3 linked regions of the Saccharomyces cerevisiae S288C genome follow. The gene in region 2 interacts genetically with the main gene of each other region. Each region holds a gene or a part of one and is shown on either strand. Other genes may lie near its edges.

The links. A genetic interaction does not mean that the proteins touch.
Region 1: mutations in YPL039W (region 2) and YNR065C together harm fitness less than expected from each alone (positive genetic interaction), as found in Saccharomyces cerevisiae (one large-scale study listed by BioGRID).
Region 3: mutations in YPL039W (region 2) and DDL1 together harm fitness less than expected from each alone (positive genetic interaction), as found in Saccharomyces cerevisiae (one large-scale study listed by BioGRID).

The regions. Positions count from the first base shown.
Region 1 is NC_001146.8:747,551-756,918, reverse strand, and holds YNR065C (uncharacterized protein), read left to right. Parts: upstream 1-3,218; coding exon 3,219-6,569; downstream 6,570-9,368. Other genes in the region: DSE4 (endo-1,3(4)-beta-glucanase), read left to right, coding at 1-1,173; YNR066C (uncharacterized protein), read left to right, coding at 1,884-3,194; YNR064C (epoxide hydrolase), read left to right, coding at 6,911-7,783; PUL4 (Pul4p), read right to left, coding at 8,153-9,368.
Region 2 is NC_001148.4:476,055-482,842, forward strand, and holds YPL039W (uncharacterized protein), read left to right. Parts: upstream 1-3,170; coding exon 3,171-4,121; downstream 4,122-6,788. Other genes in the region: isoleucine--tRNA ligase ISM1, read right to left, coding at 1-2,947; YPL038W-A (uncharacterized protein), read left to right, coding at 4,128-4,319; MET31 (Met31p), read left to right, coding at 4,481-5,014; EGD1 (Egd1p), read right to left, coding at 5,374-5,847.
Region 3 is NC_001147.6:370,911-378,997, reverse strand, and holds DDL1 (putative carboxylic ester hydrolase), read left to right. Parts: upstream 1-3,140; coding exon 3,141-5,288; downstream 5,289-8,087. Other genes in the region: NAD-dependent histone deacetylase HST3, read right to left, coding at 1-779; AHC1 (Ahc1p), read left to right, coding at 1,286-2,986; protein-arginine N-methyltransferase SFM1, read left to right, coding at 5,559-6,200; MCO10 (Mco10p), read right to left, coding at 7,041-7,313. UniProt on the Saccharomyces cerevisiae protein: Probable phospholipase that hydrolyzes phosphatidic acid.

The DNA.
Region 1 (9,368 bases), on a different chromosome or scaffold from region 2:
CAATTTTCCACATCTCTAAACAGACAAATATCTTGGTTACCATGGTCTTCTCAACTTGGCTCAAACCTTTTAGAGTATTCTAAAGAACAATTGCAATTATTAGCTGAAGTTGCCAATTCCGAATTACAGGTTAGTATTTCCGAAAGTATAAGCGGGTTAAACACATATTATTTGGGTAAAGTTATCGATAAGTATTCTTACATTCTATTAACGGTCTCCGAAATCATCCAAGATGAAGCCAGTACTAAGAGTACTTTGGAAAACATCAAATCGGCCTTTGATATTCTGCTACAAAATGAACAGACGTATCCACTAATTTACGACACAAAGTTCAACGGTTTGGTCAGTTCAGGAGATTGGGGTTCCACCAGCACGCAATACGATTTTGGTAACACTTATTACAATGACCATCATTTCCATTATGGTTACATTATTCATGCAGCTGCTGTCATCGGCTATGTTGACTCTAAACTGAATGGTACTTGGGCTGCCGACAATAAAGATTGGGTCAATTCATTGGTAAGAGATGTCGCAAATCCATCTGAAAAAGATGAATACTTTGCACAATCGAGAATGTTTGATTGGTTCAACGGTCATTCATGGGCAGCTGGACTTTATGAAAACGGTAACGGTAAGAACGAAGAAAGTAGTAGTGAAGATTACAATTTTGCCTATGCTATGAAGTTATGGGGGGCCACTATCGGTGACCAGTCAATGGAATTGAGGGGTGACTTGATGATTAGTATAATGAAGGATGCAATGAACGACTATTTCTATTATCAAAATGACAACACAGTTGAGCCTGAAGAAATCATAGGAAATAAAGTGAGTGGTATTTTATTCGATAATATTATCGATTATACTACTTATTTTGGAACAAACACAGAATATATCCACGGTATTCATATGCTACCTATCACACCAGTTTCTTCTAATATTCGTTCTGAGACTTTCGTCGAAGAAGAATGGCAGACTAAAATCGAGCCAATTATTGAATCGATAGAAAGCGGCTGGACAGGCATATTGAAGCTGAATCAAGCACTCTTCGACCCAGTAGATTCGTATGCATTTTTCAGTGATTCAACTTTTGATTCATCCACATATTTGGATAACGGAATGAGTCGCACATGGGCATTAGCATTTTCAGGGGGACTGGCCAACTCAATTGCTTAGAAAGAGAACTTGGCAAGCAGGTCTGTCGAGTCTTTCCCACTACATACATATTTTATAGAATAAATCATTTTTACTTAACTTGAAAGTTGTTGCGTTCGAAAAGACCACGGCTAACGGAGACCACTTAGGTAAATGCATGCCAGTAAGAGGTATATTAGTACTTTAATGAATGAACTTAGCAAGGTAATGCCTGCACTAAAATAAAATTCTAACGTCATCCTAAGAAGCATCAATTGGACATAGTGAGGAAAAGTTTTCACCATTTAAAATTTGTTTTGCAGAATACCATTCTAGACTATGATCCCTTAGAGATTCTCATTCTTTAAATATCAGCTTCAACAGCATATCTTTATAGTATTATCGTACTACTGGCGACATTAGCAAATCAAAGTATTTTTGCTCAGTTTCTAGTTTTATCTGTTTGATTCCCCATTAGATGGTAAACACGTTGTCTTGATGACTGAAAAGGAAGTGAACATGGTCAACTCAAAATAACCAGACTCAAAATAATTGCAATTACCTAGGCTAGATATTTTTAGAATATTATGAGAATATTTTTAGAATATTTGCAACCCAAAATATATTTAAATGCCGCCAATTTGCAACCAAAAGATTATCCGCTACCTTTTTTTTAGTCATTGAATCGTAGCATAAAGTTCCGAGCTTTGAAAAAAAGCTTTGAACTAAGAAAAGGTAAGAGATCCTCAATTATGATATTACTCCAAGTCATATGCACGATTTGGACATGTCTCTTTATTCCGTTACTCAATGCAGAGGAATTCGTCCCCAAAGTAACGGAGACTCTTTCAGAATATTCATTTAGTCTAGAGAGCTTTGACGATTCCAACAGTTTAATCAGATTAGATAATCAAGTCGTGTGGATAAGTTCCGATTCTGGAGAAAATTGGGAAGCGGTCAAAGAAATTGAAGGGCATATTCTCGAATTAATTGTTGATCCTTTGCATGGACAGGACAGGGCTTTTGTTTCGATACATTTATCACCCAAATTTTACGTCACCGATGATCGTGGAAAATCATGGAGGGCTCTGACTATACCCGTCTCTGAAAACTGTCGTTTGGGTACTTCTTGCTCTATAGCTACCCATCCGACAGATAAAAAGTACCTTATTGCAGATTGCCCTTGCTTTATAAACGACAATGGTTATATCCAAATACAAAATGAAACTTACTTTACCAACGATGGGGAATCCTTTTACAATATCGAACCTTCCTTGAAAAAGAAAGAAGATGACCATATAACAAGTTCAAGCTGCAACTTTGTCAAATCTAGCAAGGATTCTGATATTGAGGGTAACGACGCTTCGATACTATGTTTGTTCTCGAACCATGGTTACGATAGCGATCGTCACTTAAGTGCCGCATATACACAATTAGCCTTAAGTACTGATGGAGGTAAAACTTTCAAAAAATTTGATGAGTTTAATGATAAAATTATTTATCAATACAAGATATTAAAATCACATATAATCGTTTCGACACAAGATGATAGATACAATGAAATGTCACCCATGGACATCTGGATATCCAATGATGCGTCTACTTTTCAAAAGGCACGTCTACCTGCTCAAGTACGGCACGTCCATATGTATGGAATTTATGAAGATTCTATTGGAAGAATAATCATTCCTATATCTACGATATTCACAGATGAAAAAAACGACCAACCAGCTCCCTCAGAAATTTTAATATCAGATTCTCAAGGGTTGAAATTTTTACCTGTTGAATGGACAATAAATCCTCACTTTGGTTATATTGATATTGCTTCTCCTCATTTCTTAGAAGGAACAATAATTGGCTCGTTTCATCCTTCCTTTGACTACTCTCATAACAAAGGAAAATATAATAAAAAGATAGCCAGATATGAAACTAAAATATCTGTTGATAACGGCCTCACATGGTCAAATTTGAAAGTGGTTGACGAGGAAAATGCAGATTCATTCCCTTGTGATATCACTAGGCCTGAAAGATGTTCGCTCCAGAACCCTTTTTATAGTATCTAAATCTCAAATCCTACTGCCGGAATTATGTTAATGACAGGTTCCGTTGGCGACGGTAGTGAATTCGATTGGGAAGACCAAAAAACTTTCATCTCTAGAGATGGCGGTTTAACGTGGAGATTTGTTCATAATTCTTCTGGGTTATATGCTACTGGTGACCTGGGAAATATTATTGTGTATATCCCATATGATCCAGAGGAAGATGGCGATTTTCAATCTGAATTTTATTATTCTTTGGACCAAGGTAGAACATGGAATGAATATGAGCTGACCAATGCCATAAGTTCTGTCCATCCCTACAAATTGATAAATCCAACACCAGATGGATCTGGCTCAAAATTTATTTTTAAAGGAACGTTTGCCACTACCGATTCCGAAACCAACAGTATAACTTCTTTAAAAGGTGTCGAGTATATAATTGATTTTTCAGCAGCATTCGACTCTAGAACGTGTGAGGAGGAAGATTTTGAAGATTGGGATTTGGCGGATGGGAAATGTGTTAATGGCGCCAAATACAAGTATAGAAGGAGGAAACAAGACGCCCAGTGTTTGGTAAAAAAAGCATTCAAAGATTTGAGTTTAGATGAAACGCCTTGTAATAGTTGTGGTGAATCCGACTACGAATGTTCGTTTGAATTTGTTAGGGACGCAAACGGCCTGTGTATACCAGATTATAATCTGATTGCCTTTTCCAACATATGTGACAAATCGAAGGATAAATCTGTGTTAGTAGAGCCATTACAATTAATCAAAGGTGATGAATGTAAAACACCCATGAAAATTGAACCCGTTGATATTCCGTGTGACGAAATTCCAGAGGAGGGTTCGAGTGACAGGGAAATAGTGACCACTGAAAACAAATTTGACTTCGAAATTAAATTTTACCAATACTTCGATACAGTTGCCGACGAATCTTTGGTCATGCTGAATTCGATAGGAGACGCCTATATATCCCACGATGGTGGACAAACAATAAAAAGGTTTGACACTAACGGCGAAAAAATTGTTGAAGTTGTGTTTAACCCATATTTCAATTCTTCAGCATATTTGTTTGGCTCTAAAGGTAACATATTCTCAACACACGATAGAGGACACTCTTTTATGATAGCTAAATTACCTGAAGCCAGGCAATTAGGTATGCCACTAGATTTTAGTGCTAAAGCACAGGATACTTTTATTTACTATGGTGGCAAGAATTGTGAATCAATCTTAAGTCCAGAATGTCATGCAGTAGCATACCTCACCAAAGATGGAGGTGAAACTTTTACAGAAATGCTTGATAATGCAATTCATTGTGAGTTTGCAGGCACACTCTTTGAATATCCGTCAAATGAGGAGATGGTTATGTGCCAAGTAAAAAAGAAGTCTTCAGAAACAAGAAGCTTGGTTTCTTCGATAGATTTTTTCCAAGGTGATAATAAAATTATCTTTGAAAACATTATCGGCTACTTGTCCACTGGTGGCTATATTATTGTTGCCGTACCTCATGAAGACAATGAGTTGAGGGCATATGTAACTATTGATGGTACTGAGTTTGCCGAGGCAAAATTCCCGTATGGTCAAGATGTTAGTAAGCAAGAGGCATTCACTATTTTAGGATCTGAGAAAGGATCGATATTTTTACATTTAGCAACAAACTTAGAATCAGGACACGATTTTGGAAACCTTTTGAAATCCAACTCGAATGGTACTTCTTTTGTCACTTTAGAGCATGCCGTTAATAGAAACACATTCGGTTATGTCGACTTTGAAAAAGTTCAAGGTCTTGAAGGTATTATTATTACCAACATCGTTTCGAATAGGGAAAAGGTTGGAGAGAACAAGGAAGACGAACAATTGAAGACGAAAATCACCTTTAATGACGGTTCAGATTGGAACTTTTTGAAGCCTCCAAAGAAGGATTCGGAAGGGAAAAAGTTTCCCTGTGATTCTGTATCATTAGATAAATGTTCTCTACATTTGCATGGTTACACTGAACGTAAGGATATCAGGGATACATATTCCTCCGGTTCCGCGTTAGGAATGATGTTTGGTGTCGGAAATGTTGGCGATAAGCTTCTACCATATGAGGAGTGTTCCACTTTTTTAACCACTGATGGAGGAGAGACGTGGACTGAGGTTAAAAAAGGCCCCCATCAATGGGAGTACGGTGATCATGGTGGAGTCTTGGTTTTGGTCCCCGAAAACGCAGAAACTGATTCTATTTCTTACTCCACCGATTTTGGTAAAACATGGAAAGATTATAAATTCTGTGGCGACAAAGTCCTCGTAAAGGATATAATCACCGTTCCCAGAGATTCTGCTTTGAGGTTTTTGCTATTTGGAGAAGCAAAAAACATGGGTAGTGGTTCATTCAGAACGTATACAATTGATTTTAGAAACATCTTCGAGAGGCAATGTGAGTTTGATATTACGGGTAAAAAAAGGGCAGATTTTAAGTACTCTCCTCTGGGTTCCAGAACTGGTTGTCTATTTGGTCATCAAACCGAGTTTTTACGTAAAACCGATGAAAAATGTTTTATTGGGAATATTCCACTTTCTGAATTTTCGAGGAACGTCAAAAACTGTTCATGTACGAGGCAAGATTTCGAATGTGACTATAATTTTTATAAAGCCAGTGATGGTACTTGTAAATTAGTCAAAGGCTTAAGTTCGGCGAATGGTGCCGATATCTGCAAAAAGGAACCCGACTTAATTGAATACTATGATTCCTCTGGCTATCGAAAAATTCCCTTATCAACCTGTAAAGGTGGGCTGAAATTGGATGCACATTTAGCACCACATCCTTGTCCGGGAAAAGAAAAGGCATTCAGGGAAAAATATTCTATAAACACCGGCGCTTATGCGCTGGTTTTTGTTACAATTCTTCTCGTTATTTTCTTTGCCGCATGGTTTGTATACGATAGAGGTATCAGGAGAAATGGGGGATTTTCAAGATTTGAAGAAATAAGATTAGGAGACGATGGGCTGATAGAAAACAATAGGACCGATAGAGTTGTCAACATCATTGTAAGACTAGGATTATGCATTTCTTTAATTACCAAGTCTGCATTTCAACGCACGAAGGCAGGTGTAGCACGCTTTTCTTCAAAATTAAGGGCAAGGTTTGGCAACAGAAAAGGTCCTACTTACTCTTCGCTGCTTCAGGGTCAGTTTTCAGATGAATCAGATGGCTTGCATGAAGATGCTAACGATTTATCCAGTTTCACAAGTCAAGACAGTAATTTTGAAATTGAACAAGAAGATGCTTACAGACCCGAACAAGAGCACACGTCACAGATAGACCAGCCTGCCACTAGCAATATTCCAGACGCATTGCCAGCACGTAGTGCTATTCACAAGCCTGATTCAACTGCTGTGCGCAACGAGGACGAGTAAATAGATTTTTTTAATAGACTAAATAATCGTATGTTTGCTAACAAAAAGTACGCATATGCATTTTCTCAATATTGTGCATTTTCTAAATCTCCATTCACCTTTGTTATTAACATAGTCATTTAAAGGTATGATAATTCAGTATTCATCTTTTCCACAGACGGCGCTGCATGCCATTCGTCTGTAACTTGCCTAGGGACTGCGCCGCACATAATCGTGACAGAAATTTCAAAAGTGATAGGAGCCAAAAGTGATAGGAGCCAAAAAGAACATATATAAGCACGATCAAATTAACTGAACTTGACCACTTTTCTTTCACTGTCAGAATTGGACGAAGGACAAAAATGTCAAATATCATTGCAAGATTTCACAAGATTCAAGTTCAAGACGGTGTAAAGGTTTGGTACCGTGAGGCCGGTGCAGCAGGTAACCCCACAATTTTATTGCTACATGGGTTCCCTACATCTTCCAACATGTTCAGGAACCTCATTCCCTTACTAGCTGGACAGTTTCACATCATTGCTCCGGATCTTCCTGGGTTCGGATTTACGGAAACGCCAGAAAACTACAAGTTCAGCTTTGATTCCCTTTGTGAAAGTATAGGATATTTGTTAGATACTTTGAGTATTGAAAAATTTGCCATGTATATATTTGATTATGGATCTCCGGTAGGTTTTCGGTTAGCCTTGAAGTTTCCCTCCAGAATTACTGGCATTGTTACTCAAAACGGTAATGCTTACGAAGAGGGTCTCGATGACCGCTTTTGGGGTCCGTTGAAGGAATATTGGAAGTCATATCAAAGTGATCCGGTATTTGTTAAATCCCTTATCCCGTACCTTGAAGATCCAGCTAATGTCATATGCCAGTACCATGATGGAGTACCAGCTATCGAATCTGTTGATCCCGCCGCTTATACGCTTGATATTGCGCTAATTCAGCGTACCGGCCAGACCGATATTCAATTGAGATTATTTTTCGATTATCAGAATAATATAAAGTTGTACCCAGCCTTTCAAAAGTTCTTGAGAGATTCAAAGATTCCTGTGCTAGTTGCATGGGGTGCGAATGATACTATTTTTAGCGTTGCCGGGGCTGAAGCTTATCGGAAAGACGTTGATAATTTAAAGGTTGTTTACTATGATACTGGCCATTTTGCGCTTGAAACTCACGTAGTTGCTATTGCCGAAGAAATCATCAGTATGTTTGCAGAAAATTAAAGATACTAAGTTCTTGTGACAATGTTTTCTGAGAAGAATCTCTCGTATTTTGTTTAATTGCCAAAAACACATATGTTTCGACTCACATAGAGTTGCCTCAGAGCGTTCTTTTGTTACCCATTATTGCTCATAAATAAGTCAAAACAGATGTCTGGTCGCATTATCAAGGGTTTGTACTGGTAGCCCGGTGACAATATATTAATCTAAGCATATAACATTTTTAGTAAGTTCTTCAGCCACCTTTTTTACGATCTATGTTGTTTTGAAGGGTAAACCTACTACCATGTCATATGGATCTTTCCCCTAGTAAACTTGTATCTCAAAAGGTCATTTCTGAATAAAGTGTCAAAAAATCAGCTAGGAAACGGTTTAGTAAAGTATGCGACCCCAAAATTCGACAAAGCTATCACCACTCAGCTGTACTGGACTGATCGGATATTTGATTATATCAATAAGGTTTTGTTCAATAGGAAGTACCTGAACTAAATCTTGCAATATTTCCAATGCTAGAATGTATTCAAATAGTTCAGTACCTTTAAGGAACTGCACCACCTGCTTATACCTTAGGAGTATAATACATGAAATACATAATGTCAGTGACGCTGTTCTTAAAGGATAACAAAAATTCCAATCCAAACGTTCATGCCTTTCCTTTTCGTTATCGGGAAACTGTTTAGTGTATTGACTCCATATTTCGTGAATTATTGATTTTGCCATGGTTACTGCTTGTAAGGATTCTCCAGTGATCAGATACGGACGATATAATAGAAAAGAAGCTTGAGCTCTTAAACATGATAGCTCTAACATTAAGACTCTGCTCCTGTAAAAAAGATGTTCTTCGAATATCGGAAAGCCTTTTAACCTGGTAATCTGGAGTGAAACCTCCTCAAATTCTCTTTCTAAGTTTACGAATGGTACCTCGTTTGCGGTGCTGGAAGTATATAGCCGTTGAAAAATCTTACTTTGTAGAGTGGCTAGCTTGATTCTGATTTGCATGAAATCTATCAAAAGTTTATTAGTTTTATTGCGGGGGGATATTTCACACGGCAGAGGTGTTGTAATTTGTTCCAAAGTGATAAAAGGATTTTTTCCATGAATTGTTGCCAACATGCAAGAAGAACACCAAATGTTCCAAAAAAGCAAGATCACACCAATTCCGTCGCTGTTCGACTCAAGTAATTCCTTGCATTTTGTATTGTTGTTCAAGTTTAAAGCCACAGCAAGTTGTAAAGCATTTATACTCAAATATAATTGGTGCTCTAAGGATATCATCATCGTCATGAAATTTGCCATTAGAACGAGGCCGCAAAATCCATCGATTGTGGGATGAGATAACAAGTCGGGAACAAGCGTTTTCGCAGCATTATAGTACTTAAAAGCATCAGTGGTCAGTTTTGAAATACTATTCTCCGGCAAAAGTGGACGATTGTCTATGTTCGAATGATTCAATAGTTCCCTTTTTCGTATGGTCAACGACCCCAGGCACAATACAGTTGAAAGTAAAAACTTTTCATCACTATTTCCTTCTGTACATTCCAAATTTGGGTATTGGGATTCCAGCTCATATAGATGCCATTTTGATATT
Region 2 (6,788 bases):
AGTTGGCCTTCCAACATCTGGGACAGTTGTGCCTTTTGCTTCGTTCAACCAATATTTGAACGTTTATTCCGCTTCCCAATTCAATAGTTGGTAGACTGTTATTATTATCGTCCATTTGCAATATATCAACAGCAGATGATTGCAATATGTCGCAAAGCTCGTCAGAACTGAATGGGAGGTGATGCTTGGTGAAAATGGTAACGTGACTATGTGTTGTTTTGGTGACACCTTCTTCTAGACTTAACCTCTTGAATTCCTCCTGGAACTGTTTTAGAATTTTTAGTTCAAAGTTTTCAAAGGAGGTGACGATTTCCGTATTTGAGTCCAAAAACGGCCATTTTCCACGCATCGGATTAATGTCTATATGTTCTTGTCCTTGTAACCATCCTTCTGGTATATACTTCCATACTTCTTGGACCATAACGGGTAATATTGGTGCAAGAATTGCCCTATATGCATTTAGTATATGGACAAGCGTTGTTTGGACCTGCCTTCTTGCCAATGACGATATTTGGTTGGAATATAAAATATCCTTTGAGATATCAAAATAAAACGCCGATAGCTCGTTATTTAAATGATATTGTAGAGTAATGAGAACCTTGGAAAAGTTGTACTTTTGGTAGTGTTCTCTCGTCGTTTCCAGCAGTTCGTTTATCTTATACAAGGTATATTGATCAACACGGCGTAATTGTTCAATCGGCAAAAGGTTGAAATCTTGGGACTTCTGTAAATTACTCAATAAATAGCGAAAAGTTAGTCTAACCTTTTTTAGAGCTTCTCCTACATGTTTCATCACAGTCGGGCCAGCAACTATATCAGTTGTGAAATTCGATTGTGCTATCAGATACCTCAAGCCATCAACACCCAAAGCTGGTAAGCCTAAGTTTTCATCGCCTCGAATTATTGCTTCGGGAGAAATTGTATTTCCCACAGATTTTGACATTTTCAGACCATTCTCATCTAGGGTAAAACCATGAGTAATCACTTCTTCATATGGTGCAACAGGGACATTACTTGATGCTACTTTTGTTAGCAGTGAACTTTGAAACCATCCTCTATGTTGATCAGATCCTTCTAGACAAACTTGGTACAGGGGGGATGGGAGTTTTGACAACTTTAAGCTTTTTTCATAAAAGTCTTTGATCACACTCCATGACGACCCACTATCAAACCACACATCCATAGTATCTTGAGAACGACAGTATTCATGCGCTACGTCGTGATATTTTTCTGGCAACCATTCTTTCATGTCATTATCTTTATCGTTAAACCATGCATTAATTCCTTTTTGTTTGATTTTTTCTATGGCATGTGCCAAAATTTCTGAATTCATCAAAACAGAATCCGGTTCGCTCTTCTTGTAAAAGCTTAATATAGGGATACCCCATGAGCGTTGCCTAGATATGCACCATTCATTTCTGCTTTTCATAAAGGATGAAAGTCTTGAATAGCCTCTTTTAGGACAAAACTTGACGCGGCTGATGCTTTCCAGAGCCAAGTTTTTTACATCGTGTAAATCTGCAAACCACTGTGGAGTAGCTCTTATTATGACAGGTTTCTTGGATCTCCAGTCGTACGGATAAGAATGCGTGTATTCGTGAGATTTGTAAAGTAAATTAAGGTCGCTTAACTTACATAGAATGATTTTCGCGGTTTCGGCATCCAATACTTGCCTACCTTTTGTTAAGTCTCCTTCATCTCTCACGATGGATCTGACGGACTGAGGAAGTTCATTTAATTGGTAGCGGCCCTGGTGATCCACGGGAGAATAAATTTCAAGACCATTTTGAATACCAATGAGATAGTCATCCTGTCCATGCCCTGGTGCTGTATGAACCAATCCAGTCCCTGTACCGCTGGTAACGTGTGCACCATGTAATAAGGGCCTGCCAACCTTATCGTCTACTAAGAGGTTTTGATAATATAGCCCATTTAGATGAGTTCCTTGAAACTGTTTGATAGTCTCAAATGAGTTAGTTGTTAGGCCCAATTTATCAATGGAGCCGGTCTCTACAAGGATAAGTTCACTATTTAAGCGTAATAGGGAGTAGGAAAAATCCTGATTGAAACAGATTGCTCGATTAGAGAGAAGAGTCCATGGAGTACTGGTCCAAATCAAACAGTATATAGGCAAGTTATTCGTTATTCCTAGTTTTTTGCACAGATCCATCTGGGATTTCTTTTCAAGAGGAAATTTAACATAAGCAGCGATGGATTTATGGTTTTCATTATATTCTAATTCGCCCTCTGCTAACGCTGTTCTAGTTTCTGTACCCCAGTAAACCGGTTTGTTCTGTCTCTTAATCAGTCCTCTTTCGTACATTTCTTTAAAAATATTTAGCTGATTAATTTCATAGTCTTTATCCATTGTTAGGTATGGTGTTTCCCAGTCCGTTAAGATGGCAAAATGTTGGAAAGTTTCCCTTTGCCTCTTGATTGCCTTTTGTGCATGTTTTAAAGCCATTGACCTGATTTTTAAAGGCGATATTGACTCGATCTGTTGCGCGCTTAAATCTTTCAAAGCTTTAATCTCGATGGGTAGTCCATGACAATCCCAGCCAGGCTTATAAAAAATGTACTTCCCCTGTGAAAGTTGATATCTGTTTATGATATCTTTCAGAATTTTATTTAGAGCATGACCGAGATGGAGCTCGCCGTTGGCATAGGGCGGTCCATCATGTAAGATGAACAACTTTTCTTTAATGAACTCTAATTTTTCATCAGTCGTATTAAGCTTTGAAAATTCTTCGAAGAAATCACGTAGCTGCTCCTTGTAAACTAACTGCGAAGATTTTGGTATTAATTCCCTCAATGTAATCTCTAAGTTTGATCTATTAGGGAATTTGGTCTTGGGCAAGTTTAATGTTTTTTGGTAGGCATGTTTGGCGAGATATCGCTTGCTAATAATGCTAAAGATATGTTGAGGCACAAGCCTGGAGCGCTTCATAAGTAGCTAAAGATCGTTCTTAGTATACTGTGTTCCATAACTTCTAGCCTTGGTCCTTTATATTTGCTGTTTTTCTGCGTTTCTTAACTCGCTTGCGGAAAAAGAATCGACATTTTCAGAACAGGATTTTATTGTTTTTAAAGTACATTATATGGGGCGACACATCATCGCCATCTATGTTAAATATTTAAAGAATACGGGGTAGAATTATTCACGCTGGGGGATGCTGAAAGAGGAGTATAATTTGAGCGGTGCTGATAACATGGCATCTGCTGAGTTGTCATTTAAAAAGCAAAAAGTGGTATTGAAAAAGTTCATGATAGCGCAAGTGACTAAGGGGATTATGCAGCGGTATGCGAGCCTATTAGTTACCATGCCTAGTGATGATGACAATGCAATTATTGGCACAAATCATTTGAAAACAACCAAATTTTTAGAAATAATCCTACACAGAGCCAAATCATCGCATTTACAGTTCAAAAAGGTCTGTTGCATTGTCATCAAGTTTCTAGATTGCTGCTCGAAGGAAACTAACTACATGAAGTTTTTAAAGTTCAGCTTACACAAACTATTTGTAGCTGCTTTCATCTTAAGTGTGCCAAATGTTGTAGGCGATGACCGCGACAGGATTACCACGAGGGATGAAACCTATCATCTCTATTCCCAGATAACAGGCTTGCCACTGGAAGAAGTGATAAATTGTTGTTCTATTGTGAGGCCTGTACTTATTCGGCGGAGTAGACAACAACGCAGGCAAATGTTATCTCGACGTGAACAACATTCGTACTTCCTCAGAAGTTCTTTTATGAACTCCAATTCATCAGCATCACCTTTTTTCTCTACCAATAGGTCAGCTGATGATCTACATGTACATACAAGGGCATACTCGCTTCATAGCCATTCCGATGGGGAAGGCCAAGATAGGCGGTCGGAACATGAAGAAACGCATAGCATGGGGGCTGATGCCGATACATATCGACAAACTACGTTTATCCCAGACACACCAAATGGTTTGCATTCTAGATCATTAATTGAGTGTGGGATCGAACCCACCCAAGTAAGTGACTCTGGTGAATGGTCGGGTCAAAGTAACGGATATGTTTTGGTGACAGAATTACAGGAGTTTAACAAAATGGGTAAAAAGTTAGTACAAGAAGCTTTTAGGATAGTTTAATAAAGTATGGTTTGTCGTTTTGTTCATCATTCAAGGGTCATTTTTATTTCCATTTATGATTTCTTGAGTACAAAAGGCAAAAAAAACATGTATAATTATACACAAGAAAAAAAAACAAAACAAAAGAACACTTTCACACAAGCAAGTATATATTATGAGAATTTTTTCGAGTCTTACAGAACCATATCTTGCCTCTAAATTTTAGTCTAAAAATTTTGCTAGCCCATCAATTTTTTTTTTGTTCTAATGCAAAATATAACATGGGTAAGAAAAAGAAAAAGCCGTTCCTCAGTACGTAAAGAGATTTGATCATTAACAAGTTGGGCTCAATATACACAGTCGATAGTCTATATGTGCATATGAAACTGGCGCAAGACATGAATGTAGATGAAATATTTCTCAAACAAGCGGCAGAAGCTATAGCGGTAATCTCATCAAGTCCCACTCATACGGACCCCATAATACGAGAGCTACTCCACAGAATTCGACAATCCAGCCCATTGAGCGCAGTTATACCAGCACCAGAAAATGTTTTAAAGGCTGGGGAGCCGGAAAATATGGCTAGAGGTCTTATAAGGATTCCAGAAACACAAACAAAAAGAACAGGAGGTAACAACCATAGCAAGGAAGGCGCACAGCTCTACAGCTGTGCGAAATGTCAGTTGAAATTCAGCAGAAGTTCTGATCTGAGAAGACATGAAAAGGTACACTCACTCGTGCTGCCGCATATTTGCTCAAACTGTGGCAAAGGGTTTGCCAGGAAGGATGCTCTAAAAAGACATTCTAACACACTGACCTGTCAAAGAAACAGAAAGAAACTAAGTGAAGGTTCAGACGTTGATGTAGATGAGCTCATCAAGGATGCGATAAAGAATGGTACCGGCCTGTTGTAAGGCTAGAGGAAAACGTATTTGTCTCCATCAGCACACCTACACATACATATATAGATAGATATATACTTTAGCCATTGAGATAAGTAGAATAAAAAAACGTTGTAATATTCCGATACAGTTAGTGACATGTTCTCTACTTTTGCCAATTTTTTGCGCACAAAGTGGTGACGTACAAGTTCATCATTTCACGTGTGCAGCATAGTGTGGTATATTGTTTTTTTATATTTTATTTTTTATTTTTTTTTTTTTGCAGAAAACAGTGTTTGTATTATATGCTTTAGATATGCTAAAAAAAATGAAAAAAAATGGAACAAAATATGTGTTTTTTTATTTAACGTTAAAATTAAAGATTAAGTTATTTATTCGACGTCAGCATCAAAAGTTTGACCTTCAACTAACTCTGGAATAGCTTCATCCTTCTTTTCAGCATCAGCTGGAGCCTTGGCTTCGTGCTTTTCCATTTGGGCAGCCAATTGAGACAAGGCTTGGATGGCTTCAGGGCCCAATTGAGAGATAATACCTGGGAACAAATCTTGCAAGTTCTTTTCCTGTGGTAGACCGTAGAATACAGAAGTGTTGTGTTGAGCAGCAACTTGGACACCGACCTTGTTGAAGTGCATGACCTTACCGTCGTCCTTGAAAAAGTTGGCTTCGGCGACGTTGTCAATGGTGACAGCGTGCAACTTAGCTAATTGACTTTGCAACTTGGTGTCATCCTTGTTGGCACCGGCAGAAGAGCCTGCCTTCTTGTTAAGCTTTCTTCTAGTACCACCAACTTTGTTGTTAGCAGACAACTTTTGTAGCTTAGCTAATTTTTCTTGGTCAATTGGCATTATGAATTATGAGTCGCGTCTGGTGTGAGATGTTCTATTCTTAAACCTCCCTAGAAAGAATATTCGCTCTCTTGTGACAAAGGAGGGGTTACTACTTAACAAGCAATTGCAGCTGTTTCCACTACGAAATCTTCCAATGTCAACGAAAAAAATTCAAAAATTTTCTGCTTTTTTTTTCAACATCTGCCGTACTAAATGATTCCACAATAATCCATCATATACCATTACCCTGATTCCCATCGAAGAAAAGGCGGTGTCCCCTTACCCGTCCGCTCATGCCAAGAGATTAATTCATAACCGCTCTTCCTTGGATCAGAAGTGAACATATGAAGTTGCAACTACTACATACTTACTACCGTAGTCCATCATCAAGGACCCAAACATTCACGACTCCAGCGCGCCACGTTCTTCGCCATACTGCTTAACATTTTGGTACGAGTGCGAATTAGGGAAGTCGATGATAAAATAGAATATGCGAAAAAGAGGAAGAGCAGCCGTGAGAAAAAAGAAAAAAAAAGGCCTAAGGTATTCTCTACTCCAAAATCGTCGAGGGAGGGCAAAAGAAATTTTTTTTGTTTAAGGGAATTGCGAAGTCAATTGATTGATGAAGTAGCTTCTCTGGAAAAATGGCGGACAGACGCTGCTCAAATAACCGTCGAAGGGGGAAAGGTTATCGGTGGAAACATATTTGTAAGTACATAATAGTGAATTTACTTCTTGTCGGCGTCCCCTAAACGTAATTGGCGGTGTGATGGTACTTCGTTATATAAAGGTGTGTAATATCCTCTTTTACCATCTATTATTTCTTCCAGCATTTCTTGCTGGATAACCTACTGTATCCAAGCTACTGGGCTTTTTTAAACATACCCATAACTTTTTTTTTTTCATTTTTCGTTGCTGTGTGCTAGTACAATTTAAGCAAAAGGAAACTGTTTTGCGTT
Region 3 (8,087 bases), on a different chromosome or scaffold from region 2:
TCACAGGATGGATGGTTTTCACCATACAGGACGATATTAGGTCTTAGAATACCCACATTAGAACCAAGAGTTCGCTTTCCTTCATTCAATCTCTTGTTGATAAGTGCTTCGCAATCCGGACACAATGGTAACTCACCTCTTCTTAGACAACGAGACCAGTACCTGCTCCAGGGAAAAGTCTGGAAGCACTTTGTACACGAAAGAGTTTTCAGGTCGCCGTGCAACTGAACGACATCCAGATTTTTCCAATGTGAACTAAATGAGGTAAGCGGTAATTTCCTATTTGATAAAGTAAGTCCTATGCTTTCTTCGAGCCCATCGATGTTTTGCGTGTAACAGCGCAGCAGTTTGTTCCTATCTTTTAGATGCGCAATGAACTTGTGCGTCTTAGTCGGCTTTGCCAATTGAACATTTGAATAGAGCCTCTCCATAAATTTAGCAAAAATGGATATTTTGAAGTCATCTCTAAATAGCGAAATATCAAACATTTCCCTGCCGGACTTGATAGACCAATACTGTGAACAATCCTTTTTCACTAGGTCGTAGAGCCCATCAGAAGAGCGAAAGTCAGGAATGCCCGCGTTGCACGAAATGCCTGCCCCAGTCAGACAAGCAATTCTCCTAGATCTGCTCAACTGCTTGGTTACGCGCCGGAGAACTTCATCGTCGGCATCAAGACCTATAATATGTGCCAGTTTCTCAGTCTGCAAAGAGGACGGTAAGTCGGAGCACATTGAGCCCGATCGACTGGCAGGTGGCGAGGGCGATACTGAAGTCATTTTTGAGAAAGATGGATCTAGTTGTATGTAAATTAATCCCTTCAGTTTTTACACCACTAACCACGTATTTGCCCTTGCTTGTGTTATATATAAGACGTACGCCAGATATAGTTCTCTGGCACGAATAACATTGCTTGCTTTTATTGACGTTTTACCCTTTGTGGTAACAGCAAACATAAACGTCGTTCGTGATGTTGAGTTACTTATTGTTACCCGCAATTGAGGGATACCCGCCACAGAAACACATGCAGTGCATTTGCCACTGTGCATAGCCGTAGGAAGAGGGAAAAACGAACAGGGAAGAAGCAGGAAGAGCAGACAGCAAGAACCCGTGCTAAGGAAGGTGATGAACTTTGGCCACTGAAGGCGCATTTTACCTCTGAAGGATCCCGTTTCCACATTTGTAAGCTAGTGTTCGTTCATATAAACACCCTGATCTTCGGCATTTCACTACTCTTCGGGCTCACGCTTCTCATCCAACACTTTGTGTATATGTCCATCTCCTCATGATGAGTCCCGCCCAAGATAAACTGCAGCACCAGCATCATAATCCTAATTCTTCCTCATCGTCATCCTCTAAGATGACGAACGTTTATCAGGTTACCACGCCAAAGTCTCCTCAGGATTTGGAAAACAACATGGATGAGCCCTTCAAAATGGACACCGCCACCAGTAATCCGGACAAGGATAGCGAAAATACCCAGCGGTTGAAGTACGAATGTGCCAAAGGGGAAATACAGAATGTTTTGAACCTACATATAATGCTAAACCACAAGCATGTTAGGCACTTACGAAGAAATGTTCAAAAGGTTAACGCAAAACTAGCTCTCTTGGAAACCCTGCATAAGGATACTGGTCTATTGAACAAAATCGAACGGACGTATCAACTCAAAATAAAACAACATCAGCAGCATAGCGTGCTCGGCGGCCACTTTCACGACAGTACGGCTACGGAAAATACGAACGCATCAAATTATAACCTGTCATACCCGGTTCTATCGGATTATAACATCAACTGTCAGCCTTTGTCTTCGAGCAGCAACAGAAATCTGTCAACAACACGCATACCACACCACCATTATCATACTAGAAGCAAGAGTAACGGGCTTTTGCTAGAACCTTCTGCCCTCCGTCCGGCAAATTCGAATATAATTGATTACAGGCTAACAGGTTCTAAATCTCTATCAGAAGCCATAACCAAGCCCACTCCCGTCTCGCTTCCTCACTCTAATTCGGATGGCATTTCTTCACCTCGTTCCTCCTCAATCTCCCCCTTAGACGAGCAGCCGGGGTTCCAGATACTCCCTTTTAAACCAAGTCAGATGCATCTTAACCACAGACGTAATTACAGTAGCACTTGTTTGACGAGCAATAGCGGTATCATCGGTAAGACTGAAAATAATGAGCCCATTTTTAGAAGATATGACGGCATTTTGGTTATAATTACGTGCTCCAAATGTGACCGTTCCGGTTTCACTTCCGCGCAAGGTATCGTGAACCATACTCGACTAAAACATTCTAAACTATATTCAAGCCAACCATTGGCAGTTTTAAACAACCAAAAACTACTTCCTAATGATAAGCAGGATCCGGAAATTTTATCTAAGTTCAAGAAACTAAATTTGGACCCAAACAAAGACTACCTACCCTCTGACATTGCAATCCCAAAACCACAATCACCAATCAACCACTCCGAGAACCATACGCGGGCTCCAAAGACTGTCAAGAACACTCCTCATTTAGAAAAACTATACCAAAATAAAGAAGACTTCAAAAAACTGATTGACATGGTTAATGAAACTCCGGATGATTTGAATGAATATTTGAAGCAACGTGAAATTCAATTAAGATATCAAAAGGAGCAAGAAGAGGAATCTTCCAAATCTGATGACGAAGCTTCTTACGTCCCATCACCGTCTCTCTCAGCAACGGCTACAACAACAACGACTACGGACCCACCCTCTCCGCCAGTGCTATCCTCCTCCTTACAAAGAAAATTGCTGCGTAAGAGAAAACTGAGCTTGAATAGCTCTACTCCCATGGAAGATTTACCTTTAAGAGAAAGGTTGAGAGCAAATCCCACTGACAAGAAACCAAGAAAAGCGGCCCTTTTGACTAATGAACTTGAGGGTCCTGATCCTGCAGCAAAATCATCATCTTATTACAATCTAAGGTCGAAATCAAGACTGCGTGGTTCTCATACATAGTACACACATATAAATAAGTAAATTACGTAATATAATATTCTGTTGGTTTTCTGACCTAATTTGTCGCTTTGGAAGAAAAAGTGGATTGTATTTTTTTGCATATTCCCTAATATTGAAGATCACTGAATATACTCACAGTGAACAATTACTTGAAATGCTACGGTTTACTCATCGAGGCCTTCCCTCCAGCACTCGTTTTAGAAACATTTTCGTAAGGTTAAATCACATTTATGTACCATGGTTCTATGCCATAGACGTACCCAACTCCAAACCCTATTTACCCACATATCAAACTTTACACTCACCCAAAAAGTTTAAGCCGTTCTCCGTTGATGATTCTAATCGTTTGGAAAAGGCCAGTAAGCGTCAAGAACGCAGGCCTGTTTTAGTCAACGAAGATTACCTGTTTAAAGTCGACCTCTCTCACATGGAATTGTCCCCTACCTATTGGGAAGGCCCTACTTATCAAGTACGAAGAGGTGTGTGGTTCGACTCTTCAAATCAACCTTTGTCCAGTGATCTTACCTCCGAAATTGAAGGGTTGTATAAGCAGCTCAAATTCGACGACAGTAATGATGATCCGACCACGACACCTCCTGCAGAATCGCAAGATATATTTAGGCTCAAAGGTAAATACCCAGTCGATAAAGAAAACGAAGGAGAGCAAAAAAATGGATCCAGCAATAAAGATGAGAACGAATCTACTTTCAAGTTTATTTTGTTTGCCAATAAACAAACTGCATTTTTACTATCGGATTTAGATGGAGGAAAACTGCAATTAGCCTTTCTAAGGTCTAATCTGGCTCAATCCTTACCGATTAATGCTACAATGATTACAAGATCATACAAATATTCATCCTCCGCAACTACTAAACAGACATCCACATCTTTTAAGGCAGCAAAAACGCCTCAAACGGAAGTAGCAGATGGTAGTAACAGTTCCAAATCGAGGAGCATTGAAACAAAGTTAGAAAAGAAAGTTTCAAACCTCTTCAATTTATCGGACTTTTTACAGTTGTTCAATGGTAATGCTAGTAAAGATCAAGATGATGCACAGAGCTTGGAAAAGCAAATGGAAACAGACTATAACAATGCAGATAACAGTCAAGGCGCTAATGCTAGTAGCAAAATAGAAGATGGCAAAAATTCGGGCGCAAGCGATAGACAAATTAGAAGTAACAGAAGAGATGTGGATAACTTGATACTATGCGTTCACGGTATAGGTCAGACTTTGGGTAAGAAGTACGAATACGTAAATTTCGCACACACGGTAAATCTACTTAGGTCTAATATGAAAAAAATCTACAATAATTCTGAGAAACTACAATCATTAAACACAGCACCTGATTATAAAAGCAACTGTAACGTTCAAGTGCTACCCATCACCTGGAGGCACTCGATAAGTTTCCAAACGGATGCTAAGGAGGAAAATATAGAAAATCCTGACCTACCGACTTTGTCACAAGTCACAGTAAATGGAGTGTTACCCTTGAGGAAGCTACTGGCTGACGGTCTACTAGATATTTTGTTGTATGTCGAACCATACTACCAAGATATGATTCTACAACAAGTAACCTCTCAATTGAACAAAACATATCGGATTTTTAAAGAATTTAATCCAGAGTTTGATGGGAAAGTCCATTTAGTGGGCCATTCGTTGGGTAGTATGATATTATTTGATATTCTATCCAAACAAAAAAAATATGAATTAGAATTTCAAGTAGACAACCTGTTCTTTATTGGCTCACCAATTGGATTGTTAAAGTTAATTCAAAGAACAAAAATTGGTGACCGTCCCGAATTTCCCAATGACTTGGAGAGAAAATTAACCGTACAGAGACCGCAATGTAAGGACATTTATAATGTTTACCACGTCTGTGATCCCATTTCTTATAGGATGGAACCTCTTGTTAGTAAAGAAATGGCTCATTACGAACAAACTTATTTACCACATTGTAGTGAAGCTTATGGACTAACTTCTAAAGTTTTGGAATTTGGCGAAAACATATGGAAAGATTTGCCAGGTACTGATGAAAATAATTTGCAGTCCAAAAAAACTTCTCCAGAAAAAAAAGAGGTCAAGTTATCAGAAAATCTTACGAGAATGCTTACAGGTTTGAATTACACCGGACGTCTAGATTATGCTATGTCTCCAAGTCTGCTAGAAGTGGATTTTATATCAGCTATAAAATCACATGTTTCTTATTTCGAAGAACCGGATATTGCAGCGTTTATCCTAAAAGAAATTTTAAGTAAACATGAAAATGCATCAGAAATATATGTAAAAAGAAAGACTGGTTGATCAGTAAACGCAAGGCACAAGTTTTTTTTAACTTTTTTCTTTACTGTCTATTATAGTTCCACTGTGTAAGGTTGTATTCTTTCCGTACTTCAACTTGCGGGTAACAGGATTGACACCTTTTCAATTTTTTCCGTTATTTTGGATTAGAAATTTTCGGTAAGCTCATCGAGTATTGTAAAAGAGCAATGCCCTTTGCTTATTAGATGTTGAGGGGCATATCTATTGTTAATATAGATTGATACAGCTGTGGAGATTATTTCTAGATATACGATGAAGTACATTATTGAGCATATGGAGGAAGGGTTTAGTGAATGGGTCATTTTAGAGTATAGCCAAATCCTGAGAGAAGTAGGAGCTGAAAACTTGATTTTATCATCGTTACCAGAGAGTACCACGGAAAAGGACATCCCTCAAAGGCTACTAAAACTTGGTTTAAGATGGACTACAAAGGATTTGAAGGGCATTAACGAAGATTTCAAGGATTTGGAACTGTTAAAAGATGGCAGAGTCTGTCTATTGGACCCTAGGGCTACAATCGATTTACAGCCGGAGGATGCTACGAAATTCGACTATTTCGTATTTGGTGGCATATTGGGTGATCATCCTCCAAGAGATCGTACCAAAGAACTAAAGACTGCCTATCCGAATCTTTTAATTAGCAGAAGACTAGGTGATAAACAAATGACTACGGATACTGCCATAAGAACAACACAGTTGATTATCAAAGACAGGATTGCATTTGAAGACATCAAGTTCATTGACTACCCTGAATTTAGGTTCAATAAAAATGAGGCCACGGAAATGCCATTTAGATACGTTTTAGATAAAGAAGGTAAACCTATTTTGCCTGAAGGGATGTTGGATTTGATCAAGAAGGATTCTGCTCAAAGTTTGGACGATCTGTTGATGTAGATGAGAACAGTCCTTTAAGTAACATTCTATGGTTGTAATAAGTGATGATGCTTCCTTGTCAAAGAGTTAGTTGAAAAGTTTAGGGTCGTAGCATTAATTATATTGTATATAGTTCAAAAACGACATTCAATGAAAAAATCAAGTTTATTAGCCAATGAATATTTCGTATTTTGCGTTAGTAGCGCTACCAAGACTTCTGAAAAGTGCATGCAAGAAAAATAAAAACAAGGAACCGTTTACTTTTATGATATCATCATTGTCAGGCCAAATAGGATAAAATTGATTGGTTGTATTATGCTTTTTAATTGAAAAAAAAAGTAGAAACTTTTATTATTTTATTTAAATTAATTTCTTTACATTACTTGCATCTAAAACCAAACGAGCTGGTGACTTCAAGCACTGCACTAGTTGCCATGGCTTTGCTAATTCAGACGACCCCCTTGAGGTGAAAAAATAGTCTCAGTAATGAAACAATCATAGGCAATTAGTTCGATTTTTTATAATTATCTTCCAGCCTTTCAAATATTGAAAGGCCATCAACTATCACTTACACCTGAGTGTTGTCATTGATCCGTAAAGTAAAAAGAGGCAAGTTTTGTGCATATTCGTATCATGCACAATGGCCTAAGGCAAGTATTTTCAGTGTTTTTTTTTTTTCATTGCCGTTTTGCTATTCAGAATATATTGAATTATATGTATAATGCATACTTAATAGAAAGAAGGACGCTAATTTTCGTTATAGAACAGTAGTTTCAAAAAGTGCTTCAAGTTTATAGAAATCAGTGCATCCCTTCACTGAACGATGAAGAACACCACCATTTCAGAAATTTTTATACATAATCAGTTGGCTTTCGTATCCTGCCTCGTATCTTTCTCTAAATCATTTAAAAATCCTTCAATACTCTTTACGACATCATCGTCCTTTCCCATAGCATCTGAGTTTGAACTTTCACCGCTTTTTTGTTGGCTCAAGGCAGAACTATTCTTGCCTTCATTTTTGGTTTTTGGTTTCGTGGTAAAGTAAGATGCCACTGCAGCAGTAGCGATAAACGTAGATATAGCCAATACGTGAGGTTGAACCGTCTTCCCAAATACTTTGTATGCAGCACCCATTGAGATAGCTATATTTATTTTTGTATATCTTATGTTTAGAAACAGTAGCGACCTTTCTTACTTGTTCCTTCAAAACTTGACTTAGATAACTATTTACCCTTAAACCGTTAGCTCTGTATTATGGACTGTGAAATTACACCTCGTTACCCGAAGTTCTATTATATTTTCAATCCATACTCCTATGATCTCTTCATTGGGAAAAAAAGGTCCACTTTCTCCTGGATTGCTCGAAGGCTTTCCGTAAAGAAAATACCTTTTATTTTTCTTTGCTTTCTTTCTCCATTAAATAGTAAACGCCTCTTTCTGAGGCAGCTGGCTAAAAAAATGTAACAAGGAATTTTATTTTATTACGGTTCAGCAAAGGCCGTAACGATAGTTGTATTATTTTCGTTCATATGTAGCAGCGATGGTAGCATTTTTTATTGTATAAATTGTGGCTTGCGTCGATTATCTTATTATGCCACTCATAATAAAAAGTTACTCTCAAAATGTCAATATTCAATAATGCATGTCTGTCTTTTTAATTTAGTACATACGTAGGATTAGGTATTGGAAGCAATCATAATGAGTTCTAAAGTTGTTATTTCTCACTTATTGCACCTCTCGAAGTTCTCTCATTAGCCGCCCAATTCTCATTCGTGTGAAGGTCATTAACGGGGTAATGCCCGTCATCAATGATAGAAATTTCTAGAATCTTGAAGGAATGGGAAAAAGAAGCTTGATTATGTATAAAATTAGTCAAAACGCTTATACAGTACAAACTTATTATGTGCT